3 linked regions of the Anolis sagrei genome follow. The main gene of each other region encodes a partner of the protein of the gene in region 3 in a complex. Links are inferred from orthologs where the notes say so. Each region holds a gene or a part of one and is shown on either strand. Other genes may lie near its edges.

The links.
Region 1: DHX16 (region 3) and CWC27 share a complex: the UniProt entries of both Homo sapiens proteins name them as parts of the minor spliceosome. The link is inferred for Anolis sagrei from reciprocal best matches to the Homo sapiens genes DHX16 and CWC27.
Region 2: DHX16 (region 3) and CWC22 share a complex: the UniProt entries of both Homo sapiens proteins name them as parts of the minor spliceosome. The link is inferred for Anolis sagrei from reciprocal best matches to the Homo sapiens genes DHX16 and CWC22.

Annotation. Positions count from the first base shown.
Region 1 is NC_090022.1:268,457,656-268,465,531, reverse strand, and holds the start of CWC27 (spliceosome-associated protein CWC27 homolog), read left to right. Parts: upstream 1-4,654; 5' UTR 4,655-4,792; coding exon 4,793-4,834; intron 4,835-7,876. Other genes in the region: protein SREK1IP1, read right to left, coding at 3,175-3,187. UniProt on the Homo sapiens protein: As part of the spliceosome, plays a role in pre-mRNA splicing. Probable inactive PPIase with no peptidyl-prolyl cis-trans isomerase activity. As a component of the minor spliceosome, involved in the splicing of U12-type introns in pre-mRNAs.
Region 2 is NC_090021.1:188,702,811-188,710,882, reverse strand, and holds the start of CWC22 (pre-mRNA-splicing factor CWC22 homolog), read right to left. Parts: upstream 3,223-8,072; 5' UTR 3,164-3,222; intron 1,263-3,163; exon of another isoform or gene 1,217-1,262; intron 456-1,216; 5' UTR 354-455; coding exon 327-353; intron 1-326. UniProt on the Homo sapiens protein: Required for pre-mRNA splicing as component of the spliceosome. As a component of the minor spliceosome, involved in the splicing of U12-type introns in pre-mRNAs. Promotes exon-junction complex (EJC) assembly.
Region 3 is NC_090022.1:23,746,911-23,755,156, forward strand, and holds the start of DHX16 (pre-mRNA-splicing factor ATP-dependent RNA helicase DHX16), read left to right. Parts: upstream 1-4,604; 5' UTR 4,605-4,652; coding exon 4,653-4,856; intron 4,857-8,246. UniProt on the Homo sapiens protein: Required for pre-mRNA splicing as a component of the spliceosome. Contributes to pre-mRNA splicing after spliceosome formation and prior to the first transesterification reaction.

The DNA of each region.
Region 1 (7,876 bases), about 240 Mb from region 3:
TTGTGGCATATAATTGTTGCCAACTTGAGTCGCCTTCCCGCTGAAAAGAACAGGATAAAAATGCTGTAAAGAAATAAATAATCAAACAAACATCGAAATCTCTTAAGGAGAATTTTATGTTATCAATTCACAAATCCTAGGATACCATAGGATTGTGTTATGACAGCTAAAGTTATATCAAAATAGGGTAATTTGGGTACATTTGAACACTGTTGGGGGGGGGGGGAAGCAAAACATAAGATAATTTTATTTATTCGCACTCCCCATGCCTCAGTTTTCTCTCCTAACAGAAATATATCCCCAACTAAACTCAGGCTTCTAACAAGATACTAAAAGCTACAATGAGGACACAGCACATTTCTCCAAGGAAGAATATTCCAGCAGGGAGTTCAGCCGAGTTGCAGCAACTGGCTTGAGAAGACGCAGCTCTCGCAGATGGCTTCCTTTCCCTGCCAGAAAGAACATTTCATTCCAATTTTCAACAGTTTCTGGATACAGAACAAAAGAGAAACATGCTGATCCTAGGAATGAATTGTGTGACACTTGGAAGGTGGGAGTTAGGGTGTTCAAACTACAGGAAAAAATAATCCATCTAAACTTTTAGGAAAAAATTCCTGATGACAACAGCTGTTCAACACTGAATTATGCTACCTCATAGGGTGGCAGAGTCTCATTCAGTGTAAGTGTAATAACAGAGGCTGAATGATTATCTTTTGGGAGAGCTTGATTGTGAATTCATGCTTGGCATGGGGTTGGACTAGATGACCACAGGGGTCTCTTCCTACCCTATGATTCTATCTGTAACCTATAACTCTTTTAAGATTCATTTGATTTAAAGTTGGTATGTTAATCTTAGAAACAAAAACACTTTTTGAAAAAAACTCCAGGCAGAAGAAACACCAATGATCTTTCAGGCCATTCCAACAACCAAGGATGAATCCTTTTGTTTCCTTCTTTTAAGAAGTGCATACAGAAGACTAGAGTATCTTAACTTTGGGTTTACCCTTTGCTTTATTTTAATCACTTCACACTTAGAGAGAAGCCTACATTTTTAGTAAAACAAAGGACAACATCATTAGAAATTCACACTAATTTCATTATCACAGCAACATAATATATTTCAATTAGTTTCACATGGTATGGTTGCTGATGACACGATAAATAAATAACCAGGTGCACTGTTTAATGTAATGCATTTCATGAATGGTACTATGGTGGCACAGTGGGCTAAAGCGCTGAGCTGCTGAGCGTGTTGATTGAAAGGTAGCAGATTTTAATCCGGGCAGCGGTGTGAGCTTCTGCTGTCAGCTCCAGCTCCTGTCCACCTAGCAGTTTGAAAACATGCAAATGTGAGTAGATCAATAGGTACCGCTCCGGTGGGAAGGTAATGGCATTCCATGCAGTCATGCCTGCCACATGACCTTGGAGGTGTCTATGGACAACGCCGGCTCATCAGCTTAGAAATGGAGATAGGCACCACACCCCAGAGTCGGACACAACTGGATTTAATGTCAGGGAAAAACCTTTACCTTTACTTACTATGCACTTTATATGTTTTTAACTTTATTATTAGTGAATGCATTTATTTGCTTAACTGTTTTAATTGTTTAGTTGATTGAATTTGTTTTATGGCCGTGTTTCAAGCAGCACTGAATTTTGCCGGGGCTGTAAGCCGCCTTAGTCGCCCAATGGAGTGAGAAAGGTGGGGTATAAATGAAGCGAATAAATAAATGCATTTCAGACAGAGTATGGGACATGTAGTCCTGCAAATGATGCTGGACTCTCACCAACCCTCACTAGTGTAAGCCATGGTAATGGATGATGGGAGAAGCGGTCCAACTGTATATGATGCATTTCTTTCCACTTATAATAAAAGTAACACTGCATTGCAGATCCATGTACAGCAGACTCTCAAGCAACCAGCAAAACTAAAATCAAAGAATTAATCATTCATTCACAAAGCTGTATTTAGAATACAGTAAAACTGTGTGTGTCTTAATTTGCTTTCAGTTACTGTATTTTAACATTAATATCAAGTCAATACAGAGTTTATGATATGGTATAGCATGAGGCATATTTTTCACTGTAACTCTCAAGCAAACAAAAACTCCATCTGATGGGTGCAGGTTAACTGATAGCCTGCTGTATTTGTAATGAATGGAAAATAATCCACATTTTATCGAACTCAGGATTTGTGTGTGTGTGTGTGTGTCAGGAGCGACTTGAGAAACTGCAAGTCACTTCTGGTGCAAGAGAATTAGCCATCTGCAAGGACGTTCTCCAGGGGAAGCCCAGATGTTTAATGTTTTACCATCCTCGTGGGAGGCTTCTCTCATGTCTCTGCAAGGGAGCTAACAGAGGGAGCTAAACCCGCTCTCCCCGGATTCAAACCACTGACCGCTTGGTCAGCAGTCCTGCTGGCACAAGGGTTTATCCCATTATAGAACCATAGAATCGTAGTTGGAAGAGACCTCATGGGCCATCCAGTCCAACCCCCTGCCAAGAAGCAGGACAATTGCATTCAAAGCACCCCCGACAGATGGCCATCCAGCCTCTGTTTAAAAGCCTCCAAAGAAGGAGCCTCCACCACACTCCGGGGCAGAGAGTTCCACTGCTGAACAGTCAGGAAGTTCTTCCTCATGTTCAGATGGAATCTCCCTTCTTGTAGTTTGAAGCCATTGTTCCGCATCCTAGTCTCCAGGGAAGCAGAAAACAAGCTTGCTCCCTCCTCCCTATGACTTCCTTTCACATATTTATACATGGCTATCATGTCTCCTCTCCCAACCTTCACTTCTTCAGGCTAAACATGCCCAGCTCTTTAAGCCGCTCCTCATAGGGCTTGTTCTCCAGACCTTTGATCATTTTAGTCACCCTCCTCTGGACACATTCCCATCTCTTCTCTGTTTCCTTTCATCTCTAATCTACAAGCTTGCTCTTTCCTCCCTGTGGCTTCCTCTCACTTGGCTATCATGTCTCCTCTTAGCCTTCTCTTTTGAATGCTAAACATGCCCAGCTCCTTAAGCCGCTCCTCATAGGGCTTGTTCTCCAGACCTTTGATCACTTTAGTCGCCCTCCTCTGGACACATTCCCATCTCTTCTCTGTTTCCTTCCATCTCTAATCTGAGTAACAGAATTAACTATCAACACGTGGCTTGTTGCATATGAAGAGCTCACCTGGCAGCGCCATGCAGCAACTCTAGCAGCCTGAGCTCAACCCAGGGTCCTTTCTCTTCCAGGAACAACTTCCCGAGAGCGACGCTTCCCCGCCGGAAATCTGGGACCAGAGCACTGAGGGCTTTACCACCATCTGCAATGGAGGGGGGGGGGAGAAAGAAGGGAGAAATATTTACTTACATAGAAGAGGGGAGACTCTTAGGCAGCCAGTATTCAACTATGTTTTAAAGCATTATGGCTTACTTCACAGTCCCTTCTCTTTTTTCACCGCGGAGTCATTCAACTCTAACTCCTTTCTTCCTTTGGACACTCCCCCCCTAGTCTGGTAATGGAATGTTCCCCTTCCCATGAACCAATCCCAACGAAAGAAGGCGGGCTTGTTGAATTTATTTATTTATCCTGCCAGGAGTGAACCAAAACAGTTGTATTGCGTTAAAATCAATCAAACAAACAAACAAAACACAAAGTTTGCAGACCTGGTATCCAGTCAATTATATTACATTTCTAACAGAACAAAGCAAACAAACAGAGAAAATACAAAATGTGTGAGTTTGGTAGTTGCTTAAATGTCCTTTGACCAGTATCTGGCCACTTGGAGTGCCTCTGGTGTTGCTGCAAGAAGGTCCTCCATTGTGCATGTGGCAGGGCTCAGGTTGCATTGCAGCAGGTGGTCAGTGGTTTGCTCTTCTCTGCACTCGCATGTCGAGGATTCCACTTTGTAGCCCCATTTCTGAAGGTTGGCTCTGCATCTCGTGGTGCCAGAGCGCAGTCTGTTCAGCGCTTTCCAAGTCGCCCAGTCTTCTGTGTGCCCAGGAGGGAGTCTCTCATTTGGTATCAGCCATTGGTTGAAGTGCTGGGTTTGAGCCTGCCACTTTTGGACTCTCACTTGCTGAGGTGTTCCAGCGAGTGTCTCTGTAGATCTAAGAAAACTATGTCTAGATTTAAGTCGTTGGCGTGCTGGCTGATACCCAAACAGGGGATGGGCCAGAGATGTCACTGCCTTGGTCTTTTCACTATTCACTATTCGGACCAATAGGAGCGCAGCAAAGTTTGTTGCCTGAAGGAGTAGAAAAGTGTTATACATTTGAGTCAAAGAAGACTTTAGTTTGTGCCTCGTCTCCAGAGACATTGAACAAAGCTCAACCAATTACACCGCACGCGCGACCCATTCTTTCCGCCCACTCCTTCCCTATGTCATCATTACACCAGCCGGGCTCAATCTACAGCTCACTGCTCCGAGGCGGATAGAAAGTTTCGGGTGGCGGTGTTCAGTCGGAAGACTTTAGGTAACGCACTTTGGACTGTTCCAATATCCAATGGGGGAGGCCTCCCGAGTTATGAGATAAGTACTGATACGGATTCGATCCATATCCTCCCATCCACTGCCTTAACAAGTTACATATTGTGAGACGCCGAGCCAGGTTCCAATAACAAGGTTTGGAGACTTGGCTTTCCTTCAGCGTTGCTCTCTCTCTTCTCTCCCCCCCGTTGCCGAAGTGGTCGCGCCCGCTTTCCAAGATGGCGGGAGGTTTGCCCTGGAGCTTTGCTTAAACCGAAGCGAAAGCGCTTTCCTTCCGTGTTTTCTTCCCTGTCAAAGGACTGGGCCGAAGGCAGCGCCATGAGCAACATCTACATCCAAGAGCCGCCCACCAACGGCAAGGTGAGGGCCCATTTCGGGAGAGGAAGAGCTGGGGTGCGTCTACGCTGCGGAATTAACGCGGTTTGAACCCGCTTTGAACTGCCATGGCTCAATGCTATGGAATCCTGGTAGTTTTACAAGGTCTTTGCCCTTCCCTGCCAAAGAGTGCTGATGCCAAACGACAACTCCCACCATTCCATAGCACTGGGCCATGGCAGTTGAAGTGGTGTCAAACTGCATTAATTCGACAGTGTAGATGCAGCCTAATAGCAAAGCTGTTGGTCTTTGATGTTAATTTTTAATCTACATTTTGTTTCTTGCCATGCCAGCTTATGTTTGTGTGGAGTTTTTGGAAAAGGGCATTCATAACATTTTGGAAAACGTCATTTGGAGATCGTAACTTTTTAAGAAAAGCATGACCTTTCAGAGAAGAGTCAAAAACGCTTTAGTGTAGACTCTTCTCTTGTGGTATACAACCAGATATAATTATGCAAGGTAATCAGTTTCAGTTGTTAGACTGAATAACCTGTTATCGCTGATCTGTTAGAAAACAGATTTTGCCAGTGCATAAATAAACAGCAGGGCAAAAGTATGACAGCTGGGATCCTACGCTGGTTGTGCAATGCGGGCATGACTTAATGAGGGAAACACGTGCGCATGACAGCGCAGCGAGTGAGAGACGCAACTGCGACAGAGTCATAGAATCATAGAGTTGGAAGAGACCTCATGGGCCATCCAGTCCAACCCTCTGCCAAGAAGCAGGAATATTGCATTCAAAGCACCCCTGACAGATGGCCATCCAGCCTCTGTTTAAAAACCTCCAAAGAAGTTGTGGGAACATTGTTTGCCAGAAAGGGGGAGAGGAAACATTTCTGTCCCGTTTATCTTCTTCGTAAACCATTGTTTATCATTTCACAGTAAATAAGTCTAACATTACTTCACTCGCCTTAAGCACTATGCTTGGCTGTTTGTTGTGCCCCCCCCCCTTCATTAATTCTGACCCACGTTGTGCACGTCTTCCCATCGTTCATTCTGACCCGCATTGCACAAGTACCGTACCATAGGGTCCCAGCTATCATACTTTTTCCAACAGCAGTGCTTCAGAAGTGTTTTTCAGTGCCCAAAAATATACTCCCCCCATAAAACAACTTGTTTTATGTATTATCGAAGGCTTTCATGGACGGAAATACTGGGTTGCTGTGAGTTATCCGGGCTGTATGGCCATGTTCCAGAAGCATTCTCTCCTGTTGTTTCACCCGCATCTACGACAAGCATCCTCAGAGGTTGTGAGGTATATTGGAAACAAACAAGGGAGGTTTATATATTTGTGAAAGGTCCAGGGTGGGAGAAAGAACAATCAGCTAACACCTCCCAACAAAGGATTCCCCTAGGCAGGAATCAGCCAGCCCTTGAAGCTGCGAAGATTTGCGATGCTAATCAAGGTGATTAACTGCAACATTCACACTTGCCTGCAACAGACAAGAGTTCTTTCTCCCACCCTGGACATTCCACAGATATATAAACCTCCCTTGCTTAGTTTCCAATATACCTCAAAACCTCTGAGGATGCTTGCCATAGAGATGGGCGAAACATCAGTAGAGAATGCTTCTTGATCATGGCCATACAGCCTGGAAAACTCACAGCAACCCAACTTGTTTTATATCATACACTCAAGAGACAAAGATTAAGTAGACTTGGATAAAAATAACATATTTGGTTTACTCACAACCTTCATGTGTTCAGCATACACAGGTGCAAAACTTATCAGTCCAGTTTCAGATATGTTTGAGATAATTCTCTGTACTATCTGGCCAGAACACTTCTTATAGCAAAACAACAGGTGTGTGATCTGAGGTCTGAAGTTTGCTATCAGCAGTCTGTAGTAATCTGCTATGATCATGTGGCCTGTAGTCTGCAATAGTCTGTCTGTCTGCAGTCTGCTATAGCTCATGGGGTCTACAGCCCCTTTTATAACTTCTTAAGAACCATAGAGCAAAGGAAGCTGCATACCAGAACATACATATAAAGAGTAAGCAACGGGATAATAGATAAACATTACTAGAGAAGGCTTGAAGAAGGATGTCATTTCAACAGTGTGGGGAATAAGCAAATTGGATGTACATTTTATTTAGTCAGAGTAGTGAATGCTGGATTTAATTACTCCGAGCACTTAATTAAATAAAAGGCATCATTGGATGTGCCTATGTGGCCTGTCAAGTGCAGATGTGACAAGAAATGGGATGTATCTGATGCATCAAGTTACGGTTTGTAATGTACATTCAGAAATGTGTAAATGGTTTATTCTTCGTTATTAAACGGGGTCTGTGTATGTTTTATGGCAGGCAAGGGCCAATATGGGCCCTCCAGGTGTTTTGGACTTCAACTCCCATAATTCCTAACAGTCGGCACCAGATCCCATTTGATCTTGGAAGGCCGAAGTTTGCCCATGCCTGTTTTATGGACTTGGAACCCAGACACATTTTTCACTGCAGCTAAAAAAAATGTTTCTGATCTCCTATTCAGTGTTCTTACCTGGTTCAGGTGCACTAAACCCCTTTGTTAGGGATAACACAAAGACATAACTGAGTGCATCAAGTTTTTATGAAATGCTCTCCAGATTAACTGACTGTTCCTGAAGCCTCCCATATGTGACCATTGCATGTTTTGTGGGAAGCAACAAGCAGGAGGGCAGATGTGCCTGGTTACATAGAATTGTAGAGTAGGAATAGAACCCAAGGACCATCCTGTCCAACCCCATTGTGGCATGTAAGAGAAGCACAATCAAAGTACCCCCAACGGATGGCCATCCCGCTTCTGCTTAAAAATCTCCAGAGAAGGAAACTCCATCATGCTCCAAGGCATGTTCTACTGTTGAGCAGCTCTTTCTGTCAAGAAACAGAAAACAAGCTTGCACCCTCTTCAATGTGGCATCCTGTCAAATAATTAAGCATGGCTATTATGTCCCCTTCTTTGCCTTCTTTGCTCCAAGCTAAACATTCCTAACTTCCACTCTTCATAGGACTTGTCTTCCAAACCTTTGGTCATTTGAGTCGCCCTCCTCTG
Region 2 (8,072 bases), on a different chromosome or scaffold from region 3:
GGATTTGGTGCCAGCTAGATAAAATGCCAAGAATCAGTCCTCTTTTTTTTAAGAGCAGCACATGCATATCTGGCTGCTCTCTCATCTTCTGCACACATAAAAGTGTTCATGGTTCTCAATGAGAATGTGAATAAGCAGGGAAGCAGACTCCATTTAATTTTTCTCCTCCGCCATCACTTTACATGGCAATACACAAAAAGAGCAGGAAACTGGTCACTCATTCCATTACCTTGTTCCTTCTATGAAAGAAGTAACAACCATCTTCCTTGCCAACCTGCAAAGCCAATGAAGCCAATGCCAACCTGCAGAGCCAATAAAGAACTTACATTCACCTGTGTCACCCCACTCTTCATTTTTCTTCCTCTTGATCCACTACAAGCTTTGAATTGATAATGAACAATGTGCAGAAATCAAGTTGAAGGATATTTGTTATTCTTCCAGGCAAAACAGTTCATCTGTAAATAAAAAACAACATCTTTTTTAAAAAAAACACCAGAAAATGCAACTAAGGCAATTTTGCAAGTCTCCTATTTAATCTAGACCTATTATAACCTGTCAAAAATGTTCATAGATTAAAAATACCCACAAAATTATTTTCTTGGTAATTCATTAGTCAGTGTGTGTAGAAAATGATGTGGAGCCACAAAAAATGCAGAAGTGCAAAAGACAAGGCAGACAGAAAGAAAGGCACACCATGCCATAGATGAAAGATGTAGTTATGGGTACAACTCACACGGCCAGATTACAGCTTGGAGGGGTTAGATATCGGAAAACTGGTTTGCATTTACTGATCTCACATACATTCACATACATATTCACACAAATTGCGAGAAATGAGCAAGTCAGCACATCCGAAGTGACACGTCGCAGAAGAAATTATTCCATGGCATTGAGAGGTTGAGGAAAGAGGAGGCAAAGAAGCATATTCACCCAACCCTGCAAAACAGCCTCCAATTTAGGGAAGCCAGACTGAAAACTAGAGAGGGCTCCTATTCCTTTAATGGCTGTGTAGAAACTTCAGGAAGTTTTTGACTGTTACCCAGCTATGGGGCAAGTAACATCTACTGAAATTCCCTCTTCTATATGTTCCAATAACAGTAAAGAAACAATAACATCTGCATAGCCTGACATAGGGTGGTGGAGGTTGTTGTTGTTAATTACTACAAAGTCAACTTTGATTTATGGTGACCCCATGCATAAAAGGCATGCAACTCACCCTACTATCCACAACAGCCCTTGCAGACTCAAGGTGGATCTACAATCTATATAAATAAAAATGTAGTGTTAGTTCATGCTGCCATCAGAACTCAAAAACCACTGGGGGAATTGACACCAAATTTGGACAAAACACCTAACAGTCCAATGTATGTCCACCACACAAAAAAAATTGATTTTGTCATTTGGGAATTGTCGTTGCTGGGATTTATAGTTTACCTACAATCAAAGAGCATTCTGAACTCCACCAATGATGGAATTGGGCCAAACTTAGCACACAGGGCTCCCATGACCAACAGAAAAAACTGGAAAGGTTTGGTGGTCATTGACCTTGAGTTTGGGAATTATAGTTCAGCCACATCCAGAGAGCACTATGTACTCAAACAATGATGGATCTGGACCAAACTTGGCATGAATATTCCATATGCCCAAATATGAACACAGATGGAGTTTACAACAGAAAATACTTAAGGCCATCCAGTCCAACTCTCTTCACCAGGGCAAGAAAATGTAATCAGAGCCCTTCTGACAAAGACCCATCCAGTCATAAATATAGATAGATAGATATGATTCTCTCACACACAGATATAGTATCATAGATTTGAAAGAGACCCTTAAAGAAGGACAATGTCCATGTTGCATATTCCAGAGTAAGCAAACCAGACACTCTCCACATCAACACTGACAAAGAAACAACAAGAAATACTGTTTACTCACAATCATAAAGGAAATACATATATTAGAAACCAACACTTTCTCATGACTTTATTTTCCAGATCAACAGACTGGGTCACTGCAACACGTGGCAGGGGACAGCTAGTCCTATATAAATAAAAATGTAATGTTCATTTGTGGGATTAACATAACTTAATAACCACTGGACGAATTGACACCAAATTTGGACACAAGACACCTAACAACCCAACGTATGTCCTTCATGCAAAAAATTGATTTTGTCATTTGGGAATTGTAGTTGTTGGGATTTATAGTTCACCTCAATCAAAGAGCATTCTGAACCTCAACAACGATGGAATTGAACCAAACTTGGCACAGTTCTCCCATACTGGAAGGGTTTGATGGGTAGTGTCCTTTGGTTTTGGAGTTGTAGTTTTCCTACATCCACAGATCACTGTGGACTCAAACAATGATGGATCTGGACCAAACTCTACACGAAGACTCAATATACCCAAATGTGAACACTGGTGGGGTTTGGGGAAAATAGAATTTTGACAATTGGGAGTTGTAGTTAGAATCAAAGAATTGGAAGAGACCTCATGGGCCATCCAGTCCAAACCCCTGCCAAGAAGCAGGAATTGCTGGGATATATAGTTGCTGGGATATATAGTTCACCTACAATCACAGACCATTCTGAACCCCATCTATAGAATTGGGCCAAACCTCCCACACAGAACCCCCATGTGGGCCACAGCAACGCAAGGCTGGGGATGGCTATCACCATATAATTCAGATTATCAAATCTGCTTCAGGACCCATTGATTTGTCTTTTTGGCTATGCAAGAAGTGTAGAACACACTTTGACGTGTTTATTTTCTTCCTCTCAGCTTTCTTCGCTACAGTGTAGGTTTAATGAGGTGTGACACAACTGTAACTGCGATGGCTCAATGCAATGGAGTCGTAGTTTAACAAGGCCTTGAGCCTTCTCGCCTGAAGAGCGCCGGCGCCTCATCAACCCACAGCTCGCAGGTTTCCACCGAGTCCTGGGAGTTCAAGCGGCCTGGGGAGTCAACTTGGGAGAGGGAGTGGGAACTAAGGCGAACAGTGAACAGATGTGAAGCCTTTTCGCCCTCCCAAACGGGAAGGCCGTTGCCAAGCAACTCCTGTCCTTTTCCCGCCACCTCCCTTCGAACGGAGAGACAATGAAAGAGAGAGAGAGAGAGGAAGGGTCCCAAACTGAAACTTCCGCTTCCCTTTCTTCCCCACAACTTACCGTCAGCTCCAGAGCTCCGCCATTACTGAGCGCGCGAGCTGACGCTGCTGCGATGACGCCACTTCCGCCAATTCGCCTGCCAATCAGCTACAAAACAGAAGGTGGGACTTCCGGAAGGAATAAATATTGTATTTCTAGGCGGGGGGGGGGATCTGTGGCCCTAGTGACGTCACTAGGACAGAGTCAGCTCTAGAACTAAGCCATTTCTACTATTCACAAAGAAACTCGCGCGCACATGAGAACAAGAACTATATAAAAACAGAACAAAACATTATAAAATAACAACAAAACGCAGACACACAAACAAAGACTCCCTCCTTCCTTTCTGATGGTTATTTTCCCATGTTAATCTCGCTTTAAACGTCACTCCATGCAGTCATGCAGGCCACATGACCTTGGAGGTGTCTACGAACAACGCCGACTCTTCGGCTTAGAAATGGAGATGAGCACCAACTCCCAGAGTCGGACACGACTGGGCTTAATGTCAAGAGAAAACCTTTACCTTAATCTAGCTTTAATTTTATGTAAAGTGATTTTTGTTCCTGGGCTATAAAGTGTCATTTCCTAATTGGTTCTATCATCAAAACATGGGAAAAAGTTGATTAGACTCCACAACCTTTGTTTTGGCAGGACATCCTTAACCAAATCTAATGATTGTGCTGCTATGAATAAATAAATAAATATGACAATTGGGTTTCAATTATATGATTAGCGTTCAATGCTTATGGATTCCTAGCTAACATGCACATTTGTAAACAAATCATGTTTAGTCCCCTTCCAAAGGGATTCTTAGGCAAACATTTCTGCAATTTTTTTTTGTCGTTTCAGGAGTGTCCTGTTGTGAGAGAATTGGCTGTCTGCAAGGACGTTGCCCAGGGGAAGCCCGGATGATTTTTGATGTTTTTATCACCCTTGTGGGAGGCTTCTCTCATATCCCCGCATGAGGAGCTGGAGCTGATAGAGGGAGCTCATCCGCCTCTCCCTGGATTCGAACCTGCAACCTGTCCTGCCGGCACAGGGCTTTAACCCACTGCGCCACCGATGTATTCCTGTGTGTTCTCATGCAGGCCAAAGACTTATGTTGCTACATGTACACTGTAGATTTAATGCAGTTTGATCCCACTTTAACTACCATGGCTCTATGCTTTGGAATCCTTGGTTGTAGTTTGACAAAGCCATGTGATAATATGATTGCTGGGTCTGGAAGCTCCGAGTGTTACACTATTTCTGCTTCGCTCCTTCGAGAGCGCTGTTTGCGTAACACGGTACAGAACACGTGACCGAGACGGGGGCAGAGTGAGAGACTGAGGTAATATAAGCCAGGCCGGACACAGATATTATAGAAGGGATGTAAGACTTTGGTAATAGTATGATAGCTGGGTCCAGAAGCTCCAAGCGTTATGGAGATGCCACATCGCTCCTTCGGGAGCGCTGTTTGCGCAAGAGAGACTTAGCTAATGTAAGCCAGGCCGGAGACAGATAATATACAAGGAATGGAAGAGTTCTTTAATGGGGAAACCCTAACCCTGAACCGTACCGTAAGCCTAAGCCTAACCCCTTACCCAAACTCTAAATCTAACCCTTACTCTAAACCAAAACCTTACTCTAACCCTTACGCTAACCCAAACCCTAAAGTGTACCCTAAATGTAACCCCAACCCTCACTCTAATCATAAACCTAACCCAAACACAAACCCTAAACCTTGTCCTACCCTTTACCCTAAGCGTCCTCTCCTCTCTATCCTTCCCTCGCTCTCCCCGCTCTCACTGCTCCCTCTCTTCCCTTATTCACAGCCGCCTTGCAGCATCTCTGGAATGCTCGGAGCTTCCAGACCCAGCTATCATACTATAACCAAGAGTTCTTTAATGGTAAAACCCAACCCCAAACCCTAACCCTTACCCTAACCCTAAGCCTAATCCCTAACCCTGGAGCCCCCGGTGGCGCAGTGGGTTAAACCTCTGTGCCAGCAGGACTGAAGATTGACAGGTCACAGGTTCACAAATCCAAGGAGAGCATGGATGAGCTCCCTCTATCAGCTCCAGCTCTCCATGCGGGGACATGAGAGAAGCCTCCCATAAGGGTGGTAAAACATCAAAACATCCGGGTGTCCCCTGGGCAATGTCTTTGCAGATGGCCAATTATCTCACATGAGAAGCGACTTGCAGTTTCTCAAGTAATTCCTGACATGGCAACAGAAAAACAAAAAACCCTAACCCTAACTCTTTCCCTAACCGTAAGCCTAACCCCTAACCCTAACCCAAACCATAAACTTTATTCTAAACCTTATCCTAACTCTCCCCTCCTTTCTATCCTTCCACCAAATGCAGCTATGAAGTATATTCCCGCCCTCAGTGTGCCGTTCCCTCTCTGAACCACGTGGTCCCTTCCCTTATTCATTTCCTTATTTTATTCACAAATAAAAAATAAATAATCTTGTATAAATCAGTTACAGCCTCAGAGGAAAACATTGCACTGAAGTTCTAGCCTTGATTCCTTGGGACAGAAGAAGACAAGTCATGAAGTGCAGATGGAGCCCCCAGTGGCGCAGTGGGTTAAACCCCTGTGCCGGCAGGACTGAAGACCGACAGGTCGCAGGTTCGAATCCGGGGAGAGGCGGATGAGCTCCCTCTACCAGCTCCAGCTCCTCAAGTGGGGACATGAGAGAAGCCTCCCACAAGGATGATAAAACATCAAAACATCCAGGCGTCCCCTGGGCAACGTCCTTGCAGACGGCCAATTCTCTCACACCAGAAATGACTTCCAGTTTCTCAAGTGTCTCCTGACACGACAAAAAAAAAAAATGAAGTGCAGATATGAGTTAAGCATTTAGCAACTTGGCCAGGAGGACAGGGTGCTCACTGTTTTCACTGGTAGGAAACCAAAAGTCACCACAGAAAAAACACACTCAAATATTATAGTGTGGATCAAATATAGTAGATAGAAAGAACGTATTTTGGGTTGGATTATTCTTTTTGCAACCAGCCTTTCCCCCTTTCCCCCCCACATCTTATGTCCTCCCACAATGTATTGGCCTGACAAGTGGAACTCAAAGGAGGGCCCCTCCAGCAGACTTCAAATCTCAGGCCCACTGTCATCTATCAAGGTCCCAACGTGGTTTTAATGTTATTTCCAGCAGCTTGAATATAAACAGCCAGTGCAATTCCTTTAAAACTGGCGTCTTGCAGATTCTCGACTTTAGCTCTATTTTTCAGTTTGAAGTCAATAGCTGGGAAGTTGTTGCCATCTTAGCTGAGAAAATAAAACCTTTAGTTCAAAAAGGCCAAAATGTCAGCCAAAATGCACATGAAAAGCAATAGGATTGTAAGACTGGAACAGTAAAATAATAATGTGGCTGTATGCCTTTTCAGGATAGTATTTTTTCATGCAAGCCTTGTCTGGTGAAAATGCTGTGCTGCTAATTAGCATTTCCATTTGAACGCAGTGAGATGTTGCTGAAATTGCCACAGTTCAGTTGTCTCATAGAAGGACTAACTGTGTTAACACTTATCTCATAGGAGGAAATATAACACTTATCTCCTGAGATGCTGTAGCTATAAACCATTTTGCTGATGAAGCAGCAGGCACTTTCACCGCAGGAATGCTATCCCCTGCATTTCTTGTTTCTGAAAGGCAAGACTAAAGATGCTTCGGTATACAGAAACCACCTATGGAAGTCTGACTTTTTGAAAGAGAAGGAACAATTTGTTTGCAAAATACTCTTCCTGCAGCAGATGGCATATAATATGCCTTTGCCTTCATTGGACTCCAACGTCCTCAAATTATTATGAGAAGTGCCATTTACTTCATGGAGGTCAGCATCAGCAAAATGTTCCCAAACATTGTAATAAGCTCTCTGGGATTCTTTTTTCAAAACCTACCACAAACTTTTCTGCTCACTCATATCTCTGACCTTTTAAGAATAATTCCAGTTCTAACTTAGCTATCTCTTGCCAATGATTACTTTCCTACATAAAGCCTCTTCTGTCCTGATATACCAGTCAACAATGAAGAACTCTAATAAAAAATGATGAATAAGTATATCATCATCTTGGTTTTCCAGTTGCTTCACAGTACTTTGTCCTACTACTTCATCACACACATTAAATTCCACTGAGGTAAAGGTAAAGGTTTTCCTCTGACATTAAGTCCAGTCGTGTCCAAATCTGGAGGGTGGTACTCATCTCCATTTCTAAGCCGAAGAGCCAGCATTGTCTGTAGAACCTCCAAGGTCATGTGGCCAGCATGACTGCATGGCGTGTTGTTACCTTCCTGTCAGAGCAGTTTAGCAGCTCAGCAGTTTAACCCACTGCGTCACTGGGGGCTCCAAATTTTACTGAGTCACTCACTTGAGAAACAGCAACCTACTGTGTTCATGACATGACATAGACTTCAAATGTAAGGTAGAGATATCTTGGTGTTTTTTAAATGTTTTAATTTTTCCAGGATGAAGTGGAGCCATTGGTGAGCACCCTTTGGGTACAGTCACTTAACCAATGACAGATCCACCTAATAATAGCATTGCCTAGCCCACATTTGACTTGTTTACTTGCAAGAAGGTCATGAGGAACTTTGTTGAGGGCCCTACTGAAATCAAGATATGCTACATCCACAGCATTCCCTGCATCTACCAAGCTTGTAACTCTATCAAAAAAAGAGATAAGATTAGTCTGGCATGACTTGCTTTAGAGAAATCCAGGTTGACTTTTAGTAATGACAGCATTCCTTTCTAAGTGATTGCAGACTGCCTCCTTAATGATCTGCTCCAGAATCATTCCTGGTATTGATGTCAGGCTGACTGGTAGTTGTTTGGATCCTCTTTTTCCCCCCTTCTTGAAGATAGGGACAACATTTGCCCTCCTCCGGTCTGCTGGGATTTCTCCTGTTCTTCAAGAATCCTCAAAGATTATCA
Region 3 (8,246 bases):
AGATTGGAGATATGGCACACAACTCATCTACAGGAAAAATATGGAATGGGAGAATTGATTCATTCTGCATGTATGAGAGCCGGAAATGATTTTGTTAGGAGCAGATGTTGAATGGATTCTGGAATGAGAGGATGGGAAGTAGGAACGACTGGAAGGAAGAGGCACAGGTGGGAAGGAACGAGGCAAATTTTCAGTTCCTTCTTTCTTTCTCTTCCTGGCTAATTTATCTTGTCATTGTGCATCATTTTTATTATCATTTCCCCATTTATTTTGCACTGTGGGATCAGCTATGCCTGGCGCCCATGAATGAGCGAGTGAATGACTGAAGATGGAGACCATCTGTTCCTCTGAGGAGGAAAGGACATTTGTGAAGATCAGTGTGTGTGGGCCAAGGGCTGAAGCAGCTGCGTCCAGCCATTTCCATCAGTGTTTTTTTTATATGTAATTATTATTGTCGTTGTTATTAACAATAAACCAGAATGATGTTGCACGTTGAACTAGTGCTCCTCTGTTGTCTTGTTTGTTAAAGGGCAACTTAAGATCACAAACTTCCTCTGAATTGTGGATACTGGGAACAGAACAACAGGAAAGTCACTTCCCTTGTGCTCTACTTCATGCAGTGTTTGAAATAAAATACTTAGTGAAAGACTTTGCTTAAGCAAAGCAGATCTGCTTGTTCTGGTTATTGTTATTTGCAGTCATTTGGCTTCATCTTATAACAACCCTATGAATGAGAGACCTCCAAAGGGCTATGCTCAAGTCTTGCAGACCTATGCCCCTTCCACACAGCTGAATAAAATCCCACATTTTCTGCTTTCAACTGGAATATATGGCAGTATGGACTCAGATAATCCAGTTCAAAGCAGATATTGTGGGATTTTTTGCCTTGATATTCTGGGTTATATGGCTGTGTGGAAGGCCCCTGTGTGGTATCTACACTGTTGAGTTAATGTAGTTTGACACCCCTTTTTACTGCCCTGGCTCAATTCTGTGGTATCCTTGGAATTGTAGTTTGGTGAGGTAATAGAAGAAGAGACATCTAAAGACCTTGTGAAAGTACAACTCCTATGTTCCATAGAACTGAGCCATGGCAGTTGAAATGAGGGCAAACTGCCTTAATTCTACAATGTAGATGCACCCTTAGAGTCGTAACTTCCTTGATTATATCAAACCCCCTGTAGAGCAGTCTTCCCCCTTTTCAACTGCCTTCCGCTTTACCCAGCATCTTTTTCTGTGAGGCACATTATCAAATTATATGTTCAAAGTACAACAGTCTCAGTTTAGTCTTATTGTCGCCTTCTGAAAACTCTTCTTATTCTTTTATAGATATCTTCACTGCGTTCTGTTAAGGGGAAGAGGAATTTAAATTTCTGAAGTTATTGAAGAATCAAAAGATTTCCTCCTTATGCAAAAGTATGATTTTACTATCACTTCTCTGAGAGGTGGTGCATTCATTTAGTATTGTTATGAGGGTTGAATGAAAAGTAATGCCTCCACCATTGTTATTTGGGTTTGGATGGGAATATTTTAATAAATCAAATGCAGAAATAATCCTTAGAACGTGCTCTTTACCTACCACTATTCACTTTTCCACAAAATCACCAGACAATTGGGATACATTTCTGCCAACGATGAACAAGTTTTCTGAAGCTCTCAGGGAAGAAGTCAAAACTCTGTTTCCGCAACCCATTGAGCACAGATCTTCCAACAGCCAAGCTAAAGCAATAATGTGATCCACCCATTATTGCAAAATGCCGATTATGCTTGAAATTTCTCTCTGAATGATATGACAATCATCCTGAATCAATCTGTCAACCTTTTGCTTGTGAAACTTGGTGGTTGATGTCCAACTCTTGGTTTGTCATGCAAGTCAGATGTTCCCACCTCAACATCTTTAAATTTACTCGCCCAATGACGCACAGTACTCACATCAACACAATCACCACAAACAGCTTGCATTCTCTGGTGAATCTCCTTTGGGGTGACACCTTCTGCTGTCAAGAATTCAATGACTGCACATTGCTTAAGTCGAACTGACCAACAGTCTGCGCAGGGTTCCATACTTTGCACTTTAACAACACAACCGTTCAATGCAAAGGTTTCCTGCCAAAATGGAACTGTAGAGGAGAGTCTACTGAACAAGCCATTACCTGCCACATACCAGTACTGCCATCTGTTAAGGAGTTACAAAGGTGGAGGCATTACTTTTCATCCAACCCTAGTATGTTTTCTGTTCTGCCCATTGTGCTTAAAAAACAACAAAAAAGATAGCAGGCAGAACTGAAGAAATCCGTCTTATAGCTGTCCGTGAAACTTAAGAATGAGATCCATTTGCCGTTGTAGCTGAACAGAAAACCTTTTTCCGTGCTCCAGATGGAAGACCAGTTGTGCTGGTATGGCTGCACCAGGAGCTCCTACATTTTTTTTCTATTGAGTGTTTGCATGTATTCCAAGATTCTATGCATTTTGCAATAAGGTGGTTTCCCTTGCTCTGCAATTATAGGGCCAATGACCCGTCAATCATCATTATGTTCTTTAGTTCCGCCCCTTTCCCCAGGGCTCTGGGAGGGAAAAGAAAGACTTCAGGCAGTCTTTCAGTTTTGGAAGCCTAGTTACAGGACGTGAGCTTTCCCCACCTGTAGAGAAGCTTCATTTCTCACAACATCCAGGGGAAACAGCCCTAAAGCTTCTAAGGAAAACAGTTTGACAGCACAACCCTTATTGGGGTTAAAGAAACAGCTCCACATCATTTGTGGAAAAATTCCAAAAAGACTCTAGCTGGAAAATCTACAAAGTCTTGGCTGATAGGTCTACTTGGGTAACCAGAAGCAATTGGAGCTGGGAATAGAGCCCACACCAGCAGAGCCTAGAAAACAGATTGCCCCAGGGAGTGGTTAAAAGGGATTTTCCTCTTAAAGGAAAGAAACAGTTCACGAAGCCAGTTGCCTGTCCTTTGTGGGAAAGATAAGAAGCATTTGTTTGACTTGTTGAAGATCTAAAAAGTATTTGATTGTTTGTTGAAGACCTAAGCAATAATAAAGAACTTTGTTAAACCTTTTAAGCTCCTAAAGACTTTTGTATAGGAAAATCCTTAGAGCCTCTCAGCTGAGGCACCCTGGCTTCCCGCTGGGTACAAAGAGCACGTCCTGTTCAAAAGCCAATTGCTATAGGCCCAGCGCGTGACAGCACACCAGTGTTCTCAAGAAAGGCTACTCTTGCAGACATTAGTAATGGCAGAGATTCATACTTGGACAAACATTCTCTTAACTCACCAAGTCACAGATCTTTTAGATCCTTTTGCTTAGGGTATGGCAACTCTTAACTGGTCTGGGGTCTGTTTTCTGCCTGAATACCTTTCATAGTAGGGTTACCATCAGGGTCAAGGCTTTTGTTGTTGTTCATTCGTTCAGTCGTCTCCGACTCTTCGTGACCTCACGGACCAGCCCACGCCAGAGCTCCCTGTTGGCCGTCACCACCCCCAGCTCCTTCAAGGTCAGTCCAGTCACTTCAAGGATGCCATCATCCATCTTGCCCTTGGTCGGCCCCTCTTCCTTTTGCCTTCCACTTTCCCCAGCATCATTGTCTTCTCTAGGCTTTGCTGTCTCCTCATGATGTGGCCAAAGTACAACTTTGTCTCTAGTATCCTTCCCTCCAATGAGCAGCCAGGCTTTATTTCCTGGAGGATGGACTGGTTGGATCTTCTCGCAGTCCAAGGCACTCTCAGCACTTTCCTCCAACACCACAGCTCAAAAGCATCGATCTTCCTTCGCTCAGCCTTCCCTAAGGTCCAGCTCTCACATCCGTAGGTTACTACAGGGAATACCATGGCTTTGACTAGGCGGATCTTTGTTGCCAGTCTGATGTCTCTACTCTTTACGATTTTATCGAGACTGGACATTGCTCTCCTCCCAAGAAGTAAGCGTCTTCTGATTTCCTGGCCACAGTCTGCATCTTTGCGCCTAGAAATACAAAGTCTGTCACGGCCTCCACATTTTCTCCCTCTATTTTCCGGTTGTCAATCATTCTTGTTGCCATAATCTTGGTTTTTTTATGTTTAGCTGCAACCCAGCTTTTGCGGGGAGGTGTAAGCTGGCCCTGATTGTTTCTTGTCTGGAGTTCCCGTTTTCTGAGTGTTGCTCTTTATTTACTGTCCTGGTTCCAGAGTATTTTTTTTAAATATTGCTAGCCAGATTTTGTTCATTTTCATGGTTTCCTCTTCTTGTTGAAATGGTCCACATACTTGGCTAATCAAGCTGGCCAACTGCAACATTCACAGTTGCCTCAAACAGACAAGAGACAAATATATAAACCCCACTTGCCCTTTGTAGGCTTGGGCAAACTTGGGCTTGGACTCCAACTCCCAGAAGTCTCAACTGCCTTTGCCAGTGAGCAGGCATTCTGGGAGATGAAGTCCAAAGACCAGAGGGAGGCCTCAGGGCTCTATGGCTGATCATTCTATAAGCCTTGCCCTCAACTGCCCAATCCCAGCGCGCCATAGGCAGTTGCCATGACAACTGGCGAGCCACTCATTGAGCAGGACCGTCCCGGAAGGTAAGGCACTCTAGTGTCCCACTTAACGACCCGTCGCCGAGCGCGCGGATTGGTTGGCGGGGCACGTGCCCGGAAGTGCTGCCAGTGAGGCGAAGGAGGCGATGGCGGGGGAGCTGGAGCGCTGGGTCTCCGGGCAGTTGCATACTTTGCTGGGCCTCAGCGAGCGGCATGTGGTGGCTTTCATGGTGGGCCTGGCCACCCGAAGCCGCACTCCCGAGGACCTCCTCGCCCGCCTCGAAGAGACCGAGACCCTCCGCGTGAGCGACCCGCCCGCCCGCGCCTTCGCCCAGCAGCTGTGGGAGCGGGTGAGCATGTCAATCACTCAACAGGGGCGGGGCTTAAGTAGAAAGGGGCGGGGCGTAGGTGGAAAGGGGCGGGGTAAAGAGGCAGGAGCTGCATGCAGTTTGACAACACTGTATGTGTTTCTCTTGGCTAAACTCTTCTAACACTAAGACTATCTTCAATTTATTTCTAAGGCTAAGGCTATTTATTTAATCAAATTATTCTTCATACTGGGTTGTTGTAGGTTTTTTCGGGCTGTATGGCCATGTTCTAGAGGTATTCTCTCCTGACGTTTCGCCTGCATCTATGGCAAGCATCCTCAGAGGTAGTGAGGTCTATTGGAACTAGGAAAAAAAGGTTTATATATCTGTGGAATGAACAGGGTGGGGCAACAAGAGATAGGGCCTTCTCGGTGGTGGCTCCTCGGCTGTGGACCACCCTTCCCGTGGACATTAGACTGGCTCCTTCCTTGATGATATTCCGCAGTAAGCTAAAGACTTGACTGTTCAAGAAAGTGTTCGAACAAGAAGTGCAATGATTGGTAATGGCTATAGGAATGGAACAACGGGAAATGATACTGGGTTGTGATTTGGACGATGAGACGACGCTGAATGGTTTCGTAGTAATCATAGAATCATAGAATCAAAGAGTTGGAAGAGACCTCATGGGCCATCCAGTCCAACCCCCTGCCAAGAAGCAGGAATATTGCATTCAAATCACCCCTGACAGATGGCCATCCAGCCTCTGTTTAAAAGCCTCCAAAGAAGGAGCCTCCACCACACTCCGGGGCAGAGAGTTCCACTGCTGAACGGCTCTCACAGTCAGGAAGTTCTTCCTAATGTTCAGATGGAATCTCCTCTCTTGTAGTTTGAAGCCATTGTTCCGCGTCCTAGTCTCCAAGGAAGCAGAAAACAAGCTTGCTCCCTCCTCCCTGTGGCTTCCTCTCACATATTTATACATGGCTATCATATCTCCTCTCAGCCTTCTCTTCTTCAGGCTAAACATGCCCAGTTCCCTAAGCCGCTCCTCATAGGGCTTGTTCTCCAGACCCTTGATCATTTTAGTCGCCCTCCTCTGGACACATTCCAGCTTGTCAATATCTCTCTTGAATTGTGGTGCCCAGAATTGGACACAATATTCCAGATGTGGTCTAACCAAAGCAGAATAGAGGGGTAGCATTACTTCCTTAGATCTAGATACTATGCTCCTATTGATGCAGGCCAAAATCCCATTGGCTTTTTTTGCCGCCACATCACATTGTTGGCTCATGTTTAACTTGTTGTCCACGAGGACTCCAAGATCTTTTTCACACGTACTGCTCTCGAGCCAGGCGTCCCCCATTCTGTATCTTTGCATTTCATTTTTTCTGCCAAAGTGGAGTATCTTGCATTTGTCACTGTTGAACTTCATTTTGTTAGTTTTGGCCCATCTCTCTAATCTGTCAAGATCGTTTTGAATTCTGCTCCTGTCCTCTGGACTATTGGCTATCCCTCCCAATTTGGTGTCGTCTGCAAACTTGATGATCATGCCTTCTAGCCCTTCATCTAAGTCATTAATAAAGATGTTGAACAGGACCGGGCCCAGGACGGAACCCTGTGGCACTCCACTTGTCACTTCTTTCCAAGATGAAGAGGAAGCATTAGTGAGCACTCTCTGTGTTCGTCCACTTAACCAATTACAGATCCACCTCACCGTAGTTTTGCCTAGCCCACATTGGACTAGTTTGTTTGCCAGAAGGTCATGGGGGACCTTGTCGAAGGCCTTACTGAAATCCAGGTACGCCACATCCACGGCATTCCCCGCATCTACCCAGTTTGTAGCTCTATCGAAGAAAGAGATCAGATTAGTCTGGCATGACTTGTTTTTGATAAATCCATGTTGACTATTAGCGATGACTGCATTTGTTTCTAAGTGTTTGCAGACCGCTTCCTTAACAATCTTTTCCAGAATCTTGCCCGGTATCGACGTGAGGCTGACCGGACGGTAGTTGTTTGGGTCGTCCTTTTTTCCCTTCTTGAAGATTGGGACCACATTGGCCCTCCTCCAATCTGCTGGAACTTCTCCCGTTCTCCAAGAACTCTCAAAGATGGTTGCCAATGGTTCCGAAATGACTTCCGCTAGTTCCTTCAGTACTCTTGGGTGTAGTTGATCTGGCCCTGGGGACTTGAACTCATTAAGAGCGGCCAGGTATTCCTGGACGACTTCTTTCCCAATTTGGGGTTGGATGTCCTCCAATCCCTCATCCACTCCATCTTGCTGAGGTTGAAGACTCTCTCCTCCTTTTCCTTCTGCTTCAGGGTAAGCTTTATTTAAATTTAACAGCTTTCAGCGCTGCTTTCTTTGAGAGGCGGGGCTTCCTGAGTTTGAAAATTAACTGCTCTGTTTGAGGGGAGGGGCTTCCTGAGTCTCAGAGGCGGGGCTTCCTGGTTATCCTATATAAACCAGTGTCTGAACCCAAGGGGCAGCTGGGCTTTCCACAGAAGTTGAGGAAGCAGGAACCCATTTTGTTTCCTTCTGCTTCAGGGTAAGCTTTATTTAAATTTAACAGCTTTCAGCGCTGCTTTCTTTGAGAGGCGGGGCTTCCTGAGTTTGAAAATTAACTGCTCTGTTTGAGGGGAGGGGCTTCCTGAGTCTCAGAGGCGGGGCTTCCTGGTTATCCTATATAAACCGGTGTCTGAACCCAAGGGGCAGCTGGGCTTTCCACAGAAGTTGAGAAAGCAGGAACCCATTTTGTTTCCTTCTGCTTCAGGGTAAGCTTTATTTAAATTTAACAGCTTTCAGCGCTGCTTTCTTTGAGAGGCGGGGCTTCCTGAGTTTGAAAATTAACTGCTCTGTTTGAGGGGAGGGGCTTCCTGAGTCTCAGAGGCGGGGCTTCCTGGTTATCCTATATAAACCAGTGTCTGAACCTAAGGGGCATACACTCAGTAACCTATACTTTCACCCCTGCATACAGACAACAACATCAAACACACACCAAGAGGAGGTCATTAGCAACCTCCAGATGGAACAAACACGAAAACTTCCCATCTCATGCACAAGCTGTGGCATGTTCAGCTTTTTCGCACTGCAATTACTCAATTACATCTGCCCCAAGTGTACACAGATCACTCGCATGGAACACAGGATACGACAACTCGAGGACCGTATTAACACCCTTAAGGACATTCAGGAACTTGAGCTGTTCTTAGACACCACACACCACACTGGCCTAGACACGCAGCCCATATCACACCAACATCACGGGGAGGCTCAACAGAACAGCACCTCAGATGTGGACAACCCTCAGGCTTGGAGAAATGTCACCCTTAGAAAGAGACATAGGACCCAGAAGCCTCCTCAGAATACTTCCGCTCAGCTGCAGTTACACAATAGATTCCAAATTCTCACACAACTAGCACCTGACCAAGAAACAC